Linked DNA regions of Oryzias latipes. The protein of the gene in region 2 binds, or shares a complex with, the protein of the main gene of each other region. Links are inferred from orthologs where the notes say so. Each region holds a gene or a part of one and is shown on either strand. Other genes may lie near its edges.

Region 1 (4,582 bases), on a different chromosome or scaffold from region 2:
TTAGAATAAGGATCTACCCCCCACCCCCCACCCCCACCACCACGGCCACGGCCCCCCGCCTGTGCCCCGGGGGTCCATTCACCTTTTTGGCCATTCGCTCATATTCAAAGGCGATCTCCCGCCGCTGCTGGCAGCTTCGCCGGGTCAGGATGTCGATGATGGTTTGTTCATCCACTCCTGCAGGTGAAACGAGCTCTAACTTTATTTAAAAAGACAAAGTCAGCCACAGACATTCTGACCCTAGCAGCTCCTGACAGCCCAGAAAAACACAGGATCTGCCTTCAAAACAAACATTCTGTTTTTTTTTATGATTTAAAAATCCTCTGGTTAAGAAGAACTTGATGTCATCATCAACATGATCAGAATACTTCAGCTCAGTTCACATGGATTTGGGTTTTTGAATTGATCGACTGAACTGGATCTGAACGGATGGATCAGAACCGCCTTTACTTGTTTTAAATCAATTGGAGTTCTAAAAGTTTTTTCTGTCTTGCTTTGAATTTTGCTGCTTTTTCAGCTTCACACTTCCAGCATAAAATCTGATACAGACTGAATCACAGATTTCAGTTTAAACCTTTGAAATGTTTTTTCTCTAAAGTTTGTTAAGGTTTTGAGACATTTTGGTTAAAGATCAAGTTTCATTTTTGGATCTGCTGTTGAGAACGTGTTTAAATGGAAATATAAACCTTAATTTGCTCTCTGAAATATAAAATGAAAAATCAGTACAGCAGCTGAAAAGAAACCTTAAAGGCCGGGCTTTTCAAAGTAAAGTCCAACTGTCACTTTGGGGTTTGACATTTCAAAACAAAAGCACATTTCCTTCTCTGGGTTTGGAGTTTTTCTGCACCGCAGATCATTTCTGTCTCAGACCCGTTTCTTCGTTCTGACGCCAAAAATCTTTCTGCTGTACTGCAGCGTTCAGACAGGAAGTGCTTGTGTGGCGCAGGTTTGGTTCCCTTCAGGTGTGGCGGTTCTCCCGCCCTTCCTCACCTTTCGTTTTAATGGCAGCATCGATTCTGGCAGCATCGTGAGTCGGGTCAAAGTCCTTCACCGGAACCACAGTGGGACATCTGGGCTCAGGTTCCTGCAGAAAACAGGGAGGAGGTCCAATAACCGTCTGCGGCCGAAGCACAAAGTTCTGCGCCCGCCGCTCACAGAAAAACGGCGTGGAAGGAGCAGAGAGGCGTAGATCAGCGCCTAAGTCTACCATGAAGGTGGAGGTTTAGATTTCACATTCATGTGTGGAACAGCTTCGAGTTCCAGCTCTAGGTCTGCACTCGAGTCCTGAATTCCTCAGCTTTGTTAGTTCGGACTGAGCGGAGAACGGTTCTGCTGCAGGAGGCGGTACGCCGTGGCGGCTCTCTGGACTCAGGATCATGAAGACCTTTGGGATTTTTGGCTCCATGGATCGTTTATGATCACGGATCTGTTTGAGTTCAGGTCAAACCAGAGACGTTCTCCAGGACAGAGTCATACTTCCATGGCTGGAACTTCAACTTCTCAAATTGGCTTTGAACAGTTTCCAGCCTGGAGTCTGTTAAAAACAACCCCATACCATGACACCTCCTCCACAGTGCCCTCAGCCTTATGATCGTCTCTCCATAAATGCTCATGTGAGGAGGTTCAAAGTTCTACAGGAGAGCATCTAATTCCAAACATGACGGGAAACATCCCCACGAAGCTCCGCCTCCCAGTTTGTGATTGGAGGGCTTCACGGTGGTCACGGCCTTGGCCCCGTCGGTCTCACTGCCTTTCTGGAACTTTCTGGGATCTTTTTCCTGAATCTGCTAAGACGACCTTCAGCTGTGAGCGTGAACTCCTCAGAACTTCTGCACTGAGGAGGGAATCAAACGCTCTCCAGACTGAGGCCTGCAAATGTTCACAGCTTTACGGTGGGCCCTCAGAGCCTCCGCCTGATGGGTGGAGTTTCAGAGGATTTGACCACGTGGGCCGAGTGTTGACCGCAGACTCACCCCTCCGTACGCCAGCGTCAGCTGACCCAAGAACTCGGACACCATAGCCATGACGAGTTCTCCTGCAGCACAGACACTTCCATCAGCATCATTTCTTCTGAAAATAACATGAACTGTTTGTCTTAAAACACAAACGATGATTTAACACGAGAGAATTTCCCCCCGGGTTTCATCCCGGAAGTTTGATCTGCACGGAGGGATGAGGGCGTGTCTGAGGAAGAGGAGGGTCAGTGGTGATGCAGCCCCGCCTGCAGGAATGTGATGACTCCTTGTAATCATAAGAAAGCTCCCTCCACCTTTGACCCTCTTGAAAACCTGCCCCCGGAGGTGTTGGACGATTGCCGCCTGGCAACCATCGGTGCAAATAGTCAGGAGGGGCAGTTCCACCGCTGTTGGCTGGGAGTGCCGCTCTCGCCCTGATGCTCCCCTGCATCTTATCTGACGCTGAACCCTCATCCGTGGACTTTTAACCCGCCCTGCTGACTCAGGCGTTTCACACCTCGTCCCTGCAACCATCAGTGAATGACTAACCGACAGAAAGGCGACTGCTGACTGTGGAACACGTTAATGTTTCACAGTACGAGTATTGTAAGAGTCACCTGCAGTATTTTCCCTGTTTTATGCCTTCAAAGTTTTAGTTGCTCTGAATTTAATTTAACTGCAGCTTCAGATTACCTTTGAAATTTAAATGTTTGCTTTCAAAGTTCCACATAACTGTACAACAACCCAGTCCAGAATCATTTAACATGACCTAAATTCTCAGTTTTATTCATCAACTTTCAAAATAAAAGCTTTTGTTTAGGTGTTTTGAAACTGAAAACCTGAAAAACGTCCTCAGAAGAAGAAGTTTGGAGTTTTTGAAGGATTTTCTTACCTTCGGACAAGCAGCAGCAGAGAAGCAGCGAGCAGCAGCGGCGTTATGGTCCAGAACGGAGCAGGGTGTGCTCTTTATAGACGGTCATGACTCACGGCAGACTTTTACACACCAGGTGGAACGCAACGAATTCCACGGCACGGCTTGGAGGTCAGAAGTGGGTGACGACCAGCTGGTTAAGAGTCCAGCACGCCAGATATGGAGAGTTCATGTTTTATCCAGCTGGTTAATCAAAAGGTCAGAGATGAGCCGGTTTAACTAAAGCTACAAGAAAAAGATGGGCGTTTTGTGTCATGATTTGACCCACCTTTGCTACTAACTTTAATTTAGTTCCTTTAAACATTTCTTAGTAAAAACAAATGCAACAAATCACAACAATTACCAAAGTTTTTACAACAATTTTGTTTCTTTTTCAGACTGCACTGAAATCTTTCAGCTTTCTTCATAAAATCCAAACATTCAAATCAATTTGACTTCTTGTTTTATTTTGAAAGACTCCAAGGAGCAGCACTTTCATTTTTCAGGTTTCTAAAGCATCTCTAACATTTGGTTTTTCCCATCATGCTCTAAGGAGCGGTCATATTCTGCTCAGATGTAACCAGACAGAGCCATAAAGTGGGAGTGGTGGGATGCGGGGGTGGAGGGGGGGTAGACCTTGTTGGGGTCATAATGGGCAATGCACCGCCCTTCCCTACAGCCCTACAGGCAACCACCCCAGAAAGGGGCATCACTGATATCAGGAGTCATGGATACAAAGGAGGGCGGGGCTAGAGACACATCTGTCATCGTTGAGTCTGCTGCTGTTACCATGGTAACAAGTGAAGCCAAGTCCCTGTTGCAACTCGTGTATGACTGATGTTAGCACAAATCCACTGTCTGCCCCGCCTCCACCACCTCCACCAACCCTTAGACCTCTTTCACAGCCAGGCTTACGTCACAACGTCAAAACATCAAACTGAGTCAAATTCTTTTTTTTCCTCATGGTTCCATTCTTTTTTAAACATTCTAAATAAATCATTAAATAATCAACAAATAGAATGAAACTTTTGTCTGATATGTAATTATTATAATCAATTATACCCAATAGTCTGATAATGTTGGAAATATTCCTACCAGATATACAGTGGGGCAGTAAAGTATTCAGTCGGCCACAACCTGTGCAAATTCTCCCACTTAAAAAGACGAGAGAGGCCTGTAATTTACCTCATCGGTAAACCTGAACTATGAGAGACTAAATGAGGGGAAAAAATCCCTCTGTCTGATTTTTAAAGAATGTATTTGTAAATTATGGTGGAAAATAAGTATTTGGTCGTCTACAAACAAGCAAGATTTCTGGCTCTCACACCTGTAACCTGTAATAGCGCTGAGGCCCGTGGTCCACACGTTCCATCTGTCTGGACTCCCCGCCCCCCAGAAGGTAGTTCCCGGGCTCCTGCTGCCTATTGACGACTACACCAAGCTGTGCAAAGTATTGACCGTGTCTGCAAACTGCACACGGCCAAAAAGAAATCAAGGGCACAAAGAATTGTTAAAGGACAAAAATATGGAGCTATATCTATGGATACATGAGGATTTCCCAAAACATTAAGTATTCTGAGGTCACGGTTTCTCAGAATAACGTGCATCTCAAAGGAAAACCTAAACGTAACCTCACCTGCTTTTGTTGCACCAAGAGTTGTCTTCTTCTGTCCTTTTGGCACCAAAAATGGGAACAGATGAGCCTCGGTAAGCACCC
Region 2 (3,666 bases):
GGAATAATTGTCTTGATTTGTTGTTGGACTTCTTCAACCAAACATTATTTTACTGTAAAATGTTTTCATTGGTGCAACAAAGTGGGGATGCGTTAAGACCGTATAGTTTGGAGGTTTGTTAGATCAGTTTAATCCCAGGTGTGGCAGGAATGAGTGAATATTTGTGAACTCTGAGCTCACGCCCCCCCACCTCAGCAAAATATATGGTAAAACTGAGTGTAGGATGATGATTTGAGGCAAAAGTCTCAGTTTCTTCATACAATCAAGGATCTCTACGGTGGTGAGTTGTGCGGCTCACTCATCCTAAAACAAACAAACAGCAGGAAAGTTGGAAAAATGAACTCAGCTGTGTGGGATGTGGGTGTGAACCTCTGCAGTCACACACACAGTCAGAGCCCCGTAACCTAGCAACCACAGTGTTTGCCCTGTAACCACGAACAATGATCAACCGAGATCTGGCCCCCGCCCATAAATGTGTGCACAGAGCTCAGCGAGCGTGCAGACGTTAACCCCTGGGTTTAGTTTTTCCGGCATTCGGTGACCCGCCGCGGGTGGCATGAGTTGCTATGGAATAAGCTGAGCTGGTTGTTTCTTCTCCTTTTGCTTGGATTTCACCAAATCCAGCAAATAACGGATGTTGTGAGAAAATGGAAGGGCTGATCTCCATGTGACTCAGGCCCTCCACATTCTTGCAGTGGGCTGCGACACAGAAGCACATTTCACCGCGTTGCCCAATCTCAGTGTTCCTGAACGCTCCACAAAGCTGAGAGTTTCAACATCAGCTGAGTCAGTCAGCAGATTCCTCAGGGAAATGATAAACAGGACTTTATGGAAGGGAGGGGGCAAGGTTTACCTGCCCTGTCCTCTTTAAAGAGACGCAGTCTCCTGGTCTCAGCTGCAGCTTTAACCAACAGCACATACACACAGACACACACAACAGCTGACAGTCCAGTTTCTTTAATGGATAAAACAATCTTTACAACAAAAATTGAAATGCTTTTGGGTTTCTTCCCATTGTTCTTCACTTCTTCCCTCGCTTCTTCATCTCCATCTGGTAACATTGCTCACAGGCGACCGACAGTCCAACAACCAAAGACACAAACTCCTCAAAGTCCACTTGGCCGTCCCCGTTGGCGTCCAGGTCCTTCATGATCTTGTCTACGGCGGCGGGGTCCTTCTGAGCCTGCAAGAGGTAAAGGAGGGTCAGCCCACAATCCAACCCACAGATTCAGCCCTCTCCTCGCCGGTTTCTGCACCTTGAGGAAGTTGGAGAGCTCGTTCTCCATCAGCTCCCGGAGCTCCCGCCGGTTGAGCTGGTTGTCTTTGGCGTAGCGGTGGAAGACCTTGATGAGGGACTCCATGGCGTTCTCCAGTTCTGAAGGCATGATGCTGGAACGTTCTGAGACTTGAAAAGAGCAGCAGGAAGCGTTGAACATTTTCATCATTTGCTGAGCCATCAAAAAAAGGTTTAAGGAAACTTATGGGGTTTTTTAAGGGGAAAATCTGATTCAAATTTGAGAACATTAACAAAAATAGAATGGCATGGATAGCAATAGAAGGGATATAAAGAAGTAAAAAGTCTGTATGCCACTGTAATCACAGTAATCTTTCTGTAAAAGCATCCAGATGCTTGTTTGTCTTTTGAGGACTGTTTGAAGCCCAGAATGAGAGGGGACAGAAGAAAAGCCCAACACATGTGAAAACATGCCCACAGTCCAACCACACCCTTCCTCACACTCCCTATAGAGGAACCACACAGCAAAGATGCAAAATGTCACAGAAATGGGAAAAAGTGCCACATCGTCTGACGGTTTCCCAACGAACTGCTAAAGTCTGCAGAAATCTGCTGTCAAAAAAGGAAAGTTGTGAAAAAGTTGAATCGTTGACAAGGAAGTCTCAACTAGAAAAGCCCACCACAGATCTAGATCACACAGATCCCTCCTCAAGAACATTCAGGCCGATGGAGCGACAGAAAATCATGAACAACTGGAGACGGAGCAGAACCGTTAGATCTTACCTCACAGGGCAGAGCAGAAGCAGAAGTGCACTGAGGAGGAGTTGAGGAGCAGCAGGAGCAGCAGCAGCTTTATAGGGAGGCGCCGCCCTGACCGCCGCACAGTGACTCACTCAGACTCCACAGGATTGGAGGAAAGCCTCTGGTCACAGAGAGGTCTGACAGTCTTCAAAATAAAAGCAGAAAACTGACTTTTTAAGTCAGACTACAGTTTCCCATCTTTTACTAGAAACACACAGGAACTTCATCTGGACATCAATTTAATGTTAATAAACACAGAATAACTATGACTTTAAAAACACGTATGTCAGCTTCACGGCAGTGAATCATAGAATATATGGAATATCTGCTATCAAACCGCAGACCAACAACACACCCTGGACCGTAAGCAGAAGGAAAGTCCAAACTTCCATTGAATTGTCTGCCTAGATTGATGGCGCCCTCTAGTGGAAACACATCTGTCCATCATGTCTGCTGGAGCGTCCGGCAGGGAACACAGACGCAGATTTGATGAAGGTAAATGAACTTCTTCTCTCCTTTCTGCATCTGTCAGGTCAAGTACTGAGTTTATGGAAATATTTCAATGTAAAAACAGGAAATCCACATCGTTTTTCCGTCTGATTCATAAATGTCTGCAGTGTCGGACCGTCAGTCAGTACTTTAATGACTAAATGAGGCAATGACCAAAGGGTACTTTTTAAACATGGTGGCAATGACAAAGAGAGGATCTATCGATCTAAACCCTACATGTAGAAACAGTTCATCAAGGTGTTCTCTTGTGAATAAATGTGTGTTTGAAGAACGTGTATTGTGTGTGTTTGTGAGCTTCAGCAGGTCGTGTCCATGTGACTCCTGCTGCTGTGGAAACCTTTCAGCAAGCAGGACTCTGGGTTTGGTGAACGGTAAAAGGCGTAGACTGATATAGTGCTTTTTTATCTTCCTCGAAGGCCCAAAGCGCTTTACAGTCACACACAAACATTCACAAACTGGTGGCGGCTCCGCTGCCGAAAGTTGGCGCCAACCTTCCACCATGAGGCAAGGTGGGGTTCGGTTTCTTGTCCAAGGACCGCCCTACCCCTGCACCACAGCCGCCCCATTTGGTTTGGTCTGGAACCGTTAAATAAAATATAAAATAAATAAAGCTCAGACACAAAAGGGATTTGTACAAATATACAATCTGTTTGTCTGAAGATCTATAAATCCCTGCAACACGGATATCACAAACCAAAGCAGGTTTCCATGGAGACTGGAAGGACCCAACAGCTGAAGCAAAAGGCTGGAGAGCAGAGTGGATCTAGAAATCTTTATTTAGCTTGTAGGTTGTATGCTGGGATTAGATCCAAAAAATCTAGAGATGCTTTATCTTTTTAGTATTTAGTTATTTGTTAGTTAGTTGATTATTAATGTTTGACATATTTATTTATTTAGACTGTTTTATTTGAATTAGTTTTTGTAATTGTGGTAAGTCTGCGTCTTAAAAAATATATTTTTAAATTTCTGGTTTCTGGTTTCTGGTGCTGGTTCGGTGGATGTGGTCCAAGGAACGTGTCCCGGTCTCTGTTAGGCACAGGAAGTCCAAACACTCCAACGTGAGGGTGTCGTTGGAACCAAACTGAAATGATTGCGTAATTAGCGGCGCAAACCGGAGCGTG
Region 3 (4,048 bases), on a different chromosome or scaffold from region 2:
CATCCAAAAAAGGAGTGACTGTCCCACTAACTGCAGAGGAGGTAACTGGATTTAACGACATGAAATGTTTGTTTTCTGTTGAATCGGGACAAAGAAAATGGTAGTCATTTCCATTTTCTGGGAAAAGTATGTTGAAGTCCAACTCCGATCATCTTTTGATCTATTTTCAAAGCGTTCCCAGTGGGCTTTTAATTAGGATTAAGCCATTTTTCTGCCACAAATAAAAGCCCCACCTCCACTTCCCATCACCTATCTGTTTACAAGCAATATTGGTGAACCAGCTGCCATGGGAGGAGGAAGACGAAGACCTTCATGGATCTATTTATCTCTAAGCGGATGCATCAGAATGGAGCGGAGCAGGAAGCTTTTGATTGTATTTTCAGTATCAAAAGCGGTCTTTTTTTAAACAGCATTGTTTTCATCTGCTCCTGATTCACAACAATCTAAACAAAGAAGTACCCAGAAATGCTTCATTTTCTTTATACCGTATTTTCCGGACTATAAGTCGCCCTTTTTTTCATAGTTTGGCAAGGGGTGCGACTTATACTCCGCAGCGACTTATATTAGATATAAATTGAAATAAACACATTGTTAACCCTCCTGTTATGTTCATTTGTGAGGAACAGAGATTCCTGGCTAAATTTGATGTATGAGGTATGTTAAGTGTTAAGAGTATGTTAAGTGACTCAGAGAATCAGCAAACCTTTTTTTACAGTAAGATCTTGAAGGCTAAAAACATAATATTCTATTTTCCAATGATTTCATAGATTCAGAAATGCAATAAAAGTGAAAACTGTTTCTACAAATACAGGATGAAAACAGAGTATTAGTTGGCCAATGATGATTCATGAAAGGATTAAATAAATAAGTACGAGAAAGAATTACTGTGAAATTATGAGATAAACAGTCTGCTATGATTGTGTCATATGAGGTTGTGAAAGTTATTAGTTCTTGGTCCCAGATTTTGTCAAATAAATTTCCCATCAAAATGCGACTTATAGTCCAGTGCGACTTATGTGTTTTTTTCTACTTTATAATGCATTTTTGGGCTGGTGCGACTTATACTCCGGTGCGACTTATAGTCCGGAAAATACGGTAAATGTCCCCCACCTTGAGGGTAAAAAAAGTTCCACAAGTACATGTTAAAAACCCCATCGGAGTGGGTCTTTAGACATTTCATGGTCTTTTTACATAAATTAATATTTGTCATGTTATTATAATGACACAAATCTTCTAGCCTTTGCTCATTTCTAAACTCTGTTCTGCACTTGTTGTCTCTTTCAGCTGAAGAATGCTTTTGACAACCTGTTTGAAGGTTTGATGGAGAGTAAAGACGGAGAGAAAGAAGCCGCTGAGGCGAGTACTGATTCCGTGTTTACGTCAGTCAGCTGTTTCCTTTTTGGGATTGGATCATTTGGATTTATATCCTGGAAAACAGTCGATATAAAGATTTCTGTTTTTTTTCTGTTTGTGTTCTTCATTAGTTCAGTCTTTTTGTTTTCTAAAGTCTCACTGTTCAGAAATTTTTCACCTTAAATTGGCATCTAGTTGGAAATAAACACCTAGCTATTTTAGAGATGCGGTAGCATGAACAGAATCAATTTCCGAAATATTGTAAAAAAAATAATCAATTACATTTATGACCTTTAGAATCATCTAATGCTAAATTTTAAACAAAGTTTACAGTGCACACGCTCAGGAAACATGAGTTGCTGAACCTGCTGCTTTTTTCAGGAGAAACGTCCAATGAACTTAAGATCAACCGGCAAAAAGTCTCTAATTTTATGCCCCAAAAGTGATGGCAGTTAAATAAAAACATTTTAAAAAGTAATTAAAGTAGTCGGCTGATGAGCGAAGAAACTATAATCCTTATCAAGGATGAAGAAAGTGCAGCGGCAGAACCTGGATTCATCTTTTCATGCCCAAAACATTAAAGTCAATTATATTATTTGTTAAAAATGTCTGTTCTGGATCCAAAAAATAGTGGGGTGTTTGCATAAATCATTTAGTTGTTGCCAGGCAGAAATGTGAAGAAAGTAAACAAATCGTAGCGATCGCAACAACCGACATCAAAGCTCAGTCCAAATATTTCAAATAATTTAATTATAATATGTCTTAAACTCAGATTTACCACCAGATCTATAAGGTGTGATCACATTTTAACTTTTAACAAGTTCATATAAGTAGGAAAAATGGTTATTATAATGATGATAGAGGGCAGAAATCCTTCATGGCAACAATAATGTGATGTGAGAAGAATAACAGAATTGATGTTTTTCCCACAAATTGCTTCACAGCTGCATTAAAGGACCAACAGTGATTTATTTTTTATTTTTTAATCTTCTCTGCAGTCTGTGGCCACGCCCCTCCTGCCTCACCAGAAACAAGCGCTTTCCTGGATGTGCGCGCGAGAAAACAAATGTGCGCTGCCGCCATTCTGGGAGAAAAGAGGCGATCTGTACTACAACAGCCTGACGTGTTTCTCCTCCAAAGAGATCCCAGAGAGAGTGCGTGGGGGGATCCTGGCAGATGACATGGGACTGGTAAGCCGCTCAGATGCTAAAACAACCGTGTTTTAGAAAAAAGGCCACAGGGTGATGGAGTTTCCATGTTTCACTCCAAAGGCATGAAGGTTAGGATAATTGGAAATACTAAAAAATGCCATCGAAACGACTGTTGTTGTGATTTTGGGCTATACAAATAAAATTGAATTGAATTGAATTGAATCCATAAATGGGATCGTAAGCGTGCAGGATTAGGCAAACTAAAGGGCACATTTGAATTGTAGATGTGTCTTCTCTGTTCTGCTTTTCAGGGCAAAACTCTGACAACAATCGCCCTGATTCTCACCAACTTTCACAAAGGGAAGCCTCTGCCTGTGCAGAAATGTGTAAGCATTTTTTTTAATTCTTATATTCTCACAGCATTACATTAATGCAACAGTTTTTATTATTATTTTTGTGTGCACAGCAAGAACGGCCCTCACCTTTCAAGGTTAAAACTAAAACGGCAGAGGCCTCCAGACGGGAAGGTAATCGTCCCGCCTTTCATGTCATTTCAAAAAGTTTCGAGGAAGCATGACGTGGCGTTTATCTCATGTAGATAAAGCAGCAGGAGCAAGCAGTTCAAAAGGAACTGATCCCGGCTCAGAAATGTAAGCATCTTTTACTCCTGACACCAAAAACTTGTGATGTTTGTTTTAGCTTAGAAAAAACAAATCCTGTCAAACATAATCTGTGAATCAGAGTAAACCTGGAGGAAACATTCGACACGTCTGAGGTGGTGGAGGTGAAGGAAGAGAAGCAGAAAAGTACGAGCTTTCACATCTATTTCAAGTTATTCGGGTGTTTTTTTTTGTACTTTAGTTTGACCTTATACCTTTAATTTTGTTTTTCAAACTACAGAGTTAAAGAAAGGCAAGTTGAAACCCACAAAGCGAAAACCCGGTAAAGGTGCGTCTCCACTCAAGTTGTGAGCTTACATGTCAAAATAAAAGCTTGATAAAGCTTTTTGTGATGAAAATTGTATTTTTAGTGCAACATTCAGTCCCACCCGCACCCACAACAGCTCCTGCCGCTCTGCAGAAACTATGTCCTAAAACGGCAAAGGTTTTTCGAAATTGGCTCAAATCGGCATAATGATATTTATGGTGAACACTTTAAAAACAGAACTACAGATGATCGGAGTGGGACTTTAAACGTTTCAGTGACAGAAATGTCAGAAAATAATACATATATCATAGCTGACGAGCACTTTTTTAGGATCCGAATTGACTGATTCTCTCATCTTCTGTCTGTTGCACAGAGGCTCCGGTGTTGCTGGAGGACCTGGACTTTGCTGCAGCTCTAAGTGGTTCATCAGACACAGGCCCAAAGAAGAAGAAAACCTCTCAGAAGTCCACCCTCAAAGACAGTAAGTTGTTGCTGGTTTGCTTTTCAGTGAAAGCGAAGCTCAGACTGCGTGAAATTCCTCTTGCTGTCTGCAGGTGTGGAGTCTTCCTGTACCTCAGACTCGGATGACTCGTCGGCAAGAGCCACTCTTATCGTCT

What was found.
Region 1: the proteins of protein S100-A10 (region 2) and anxa2 are in contact, whole or in part, in a crystal structure (PDB 4FTG), measured with the Homo sapiens proteins. The link is inferred for Oryzias latipes from reciprocal best matches to the Homo sapiens genes S100A10 and ANXA2. Residues at the interface, in NP_002957.1 of Homo sapiens: Phe39, Gly41, Phe42, Asn45, Gln46, Ala51, Lys54, Ile55, Leu79, Ala82, Cys83, Tyr86, Phe87, Met91; in NP_001002857.1 of Homo sapiens: Val4, Glu6, Ile7, Leu8, Lys10, Leu11, Ser12, Leu13.
Region 3: the proteins of protein S100-A10 (region 2) and hltf are in contact, whole or in part, in a crystal structure (PDB 4HRE), measured with the Homo sapiens proteins. The link is inferred for Oryzias latipes from reciprocal best matches to the Homo sapiens genes S100A10 and HLTF. Residues at the interface, in NP_002957.1 of Homo sapiens: Phe42, Asp58, Leu59, Asp60, Gln61, Gln70, Ser74, Leu75, Ala77, Gly78, Leu79, Ile81, Ala82, Tyr86; in NP_001305864.1 of Homo sapiens: Thr32, Phe33, Phe34, Pro35, Phe37, Phe39.

Annotation. Positions count from the first base shown.
Region 1 is NC_019861.2:37,474,878-37,479,459, forward strand, and holds the start of anxa2 (annexin A2), read right to left. Parts: upstream 3,018-4,582; 5' UTR 2,848-3,017; intron 2,036-2,847; 5' UTR 2,025-2,035; coding exon 1,974-2,024; intron 1,085-1,973; coding exon 991-1,084; intron 178-990; coding exon 83-177; intron 1-82. UniProt on the Homo sapiens protein: Calcium-regulated membrane-binding protein whose affinity for calcium is greatly enhanced by anionic phospholipids. It binds two calcium ions with high affinity. May be involved in heat-stress response.
Region 2 is NC_019869.2:1,215,918-1,219,583, reverse strand, and holds protein S100-A10, read right to left. Parts: upstream 2,064-3,666; 5' UTR 2,018-2,063; intron 1,406-2,017; 5' UTR 1,386-1,405; coding exon 1,257-1,385; intron 1,184-1,256; coding exon 1,022-1,183; 3' UTR 942-1,021; downstream 1-941. UniProt on the Homo sapiens protein: Because S100A10 induces the dimerization of ANXA2/p36, it may function as a regulator of protein phosphorylation in that the ANXA2 monomer is the preferred target (in vitro) of tyrosine-specific kinase.
Region 3 is NC_019880.2:5,874,529-5,878,576, reverse strand, and holds part of hltf (helicase-like transcription factor), read left to right. Parts: coding exon 1-41; intron 42-1,284; coding exon 1,285-1,356; intron 1,357-2,351; coding exon 2,352-2,543; intron 2,544-2,815; coding exon 2,816-2,890; exon of another isoform or gene 2,891-2,970; coding exon 2,971-3,031; exon of another isoform or gene 3,032-3,102; coding exon 3,103-3,154; exon of another isoform or gene 3,155-3,245; coding exon 3,246-3,310; exon of another isoform or gene 3,311-3,404; coding exon 3,405-3,452; exon of another isoform or gene 3,453-3,804; coding exon 3,805-3,912; exon of another isoform or gene 3,913-3,985; coding exon 3,986-4,048. UniProt on the Homo sapiens protein: Has both helicase and E3 ubiquitin ligase activities. Possesses intrinsic ATP-dependent nucleosome-remodeling activity; This activity may be required for transcriptional activation or repression of specific target promoters.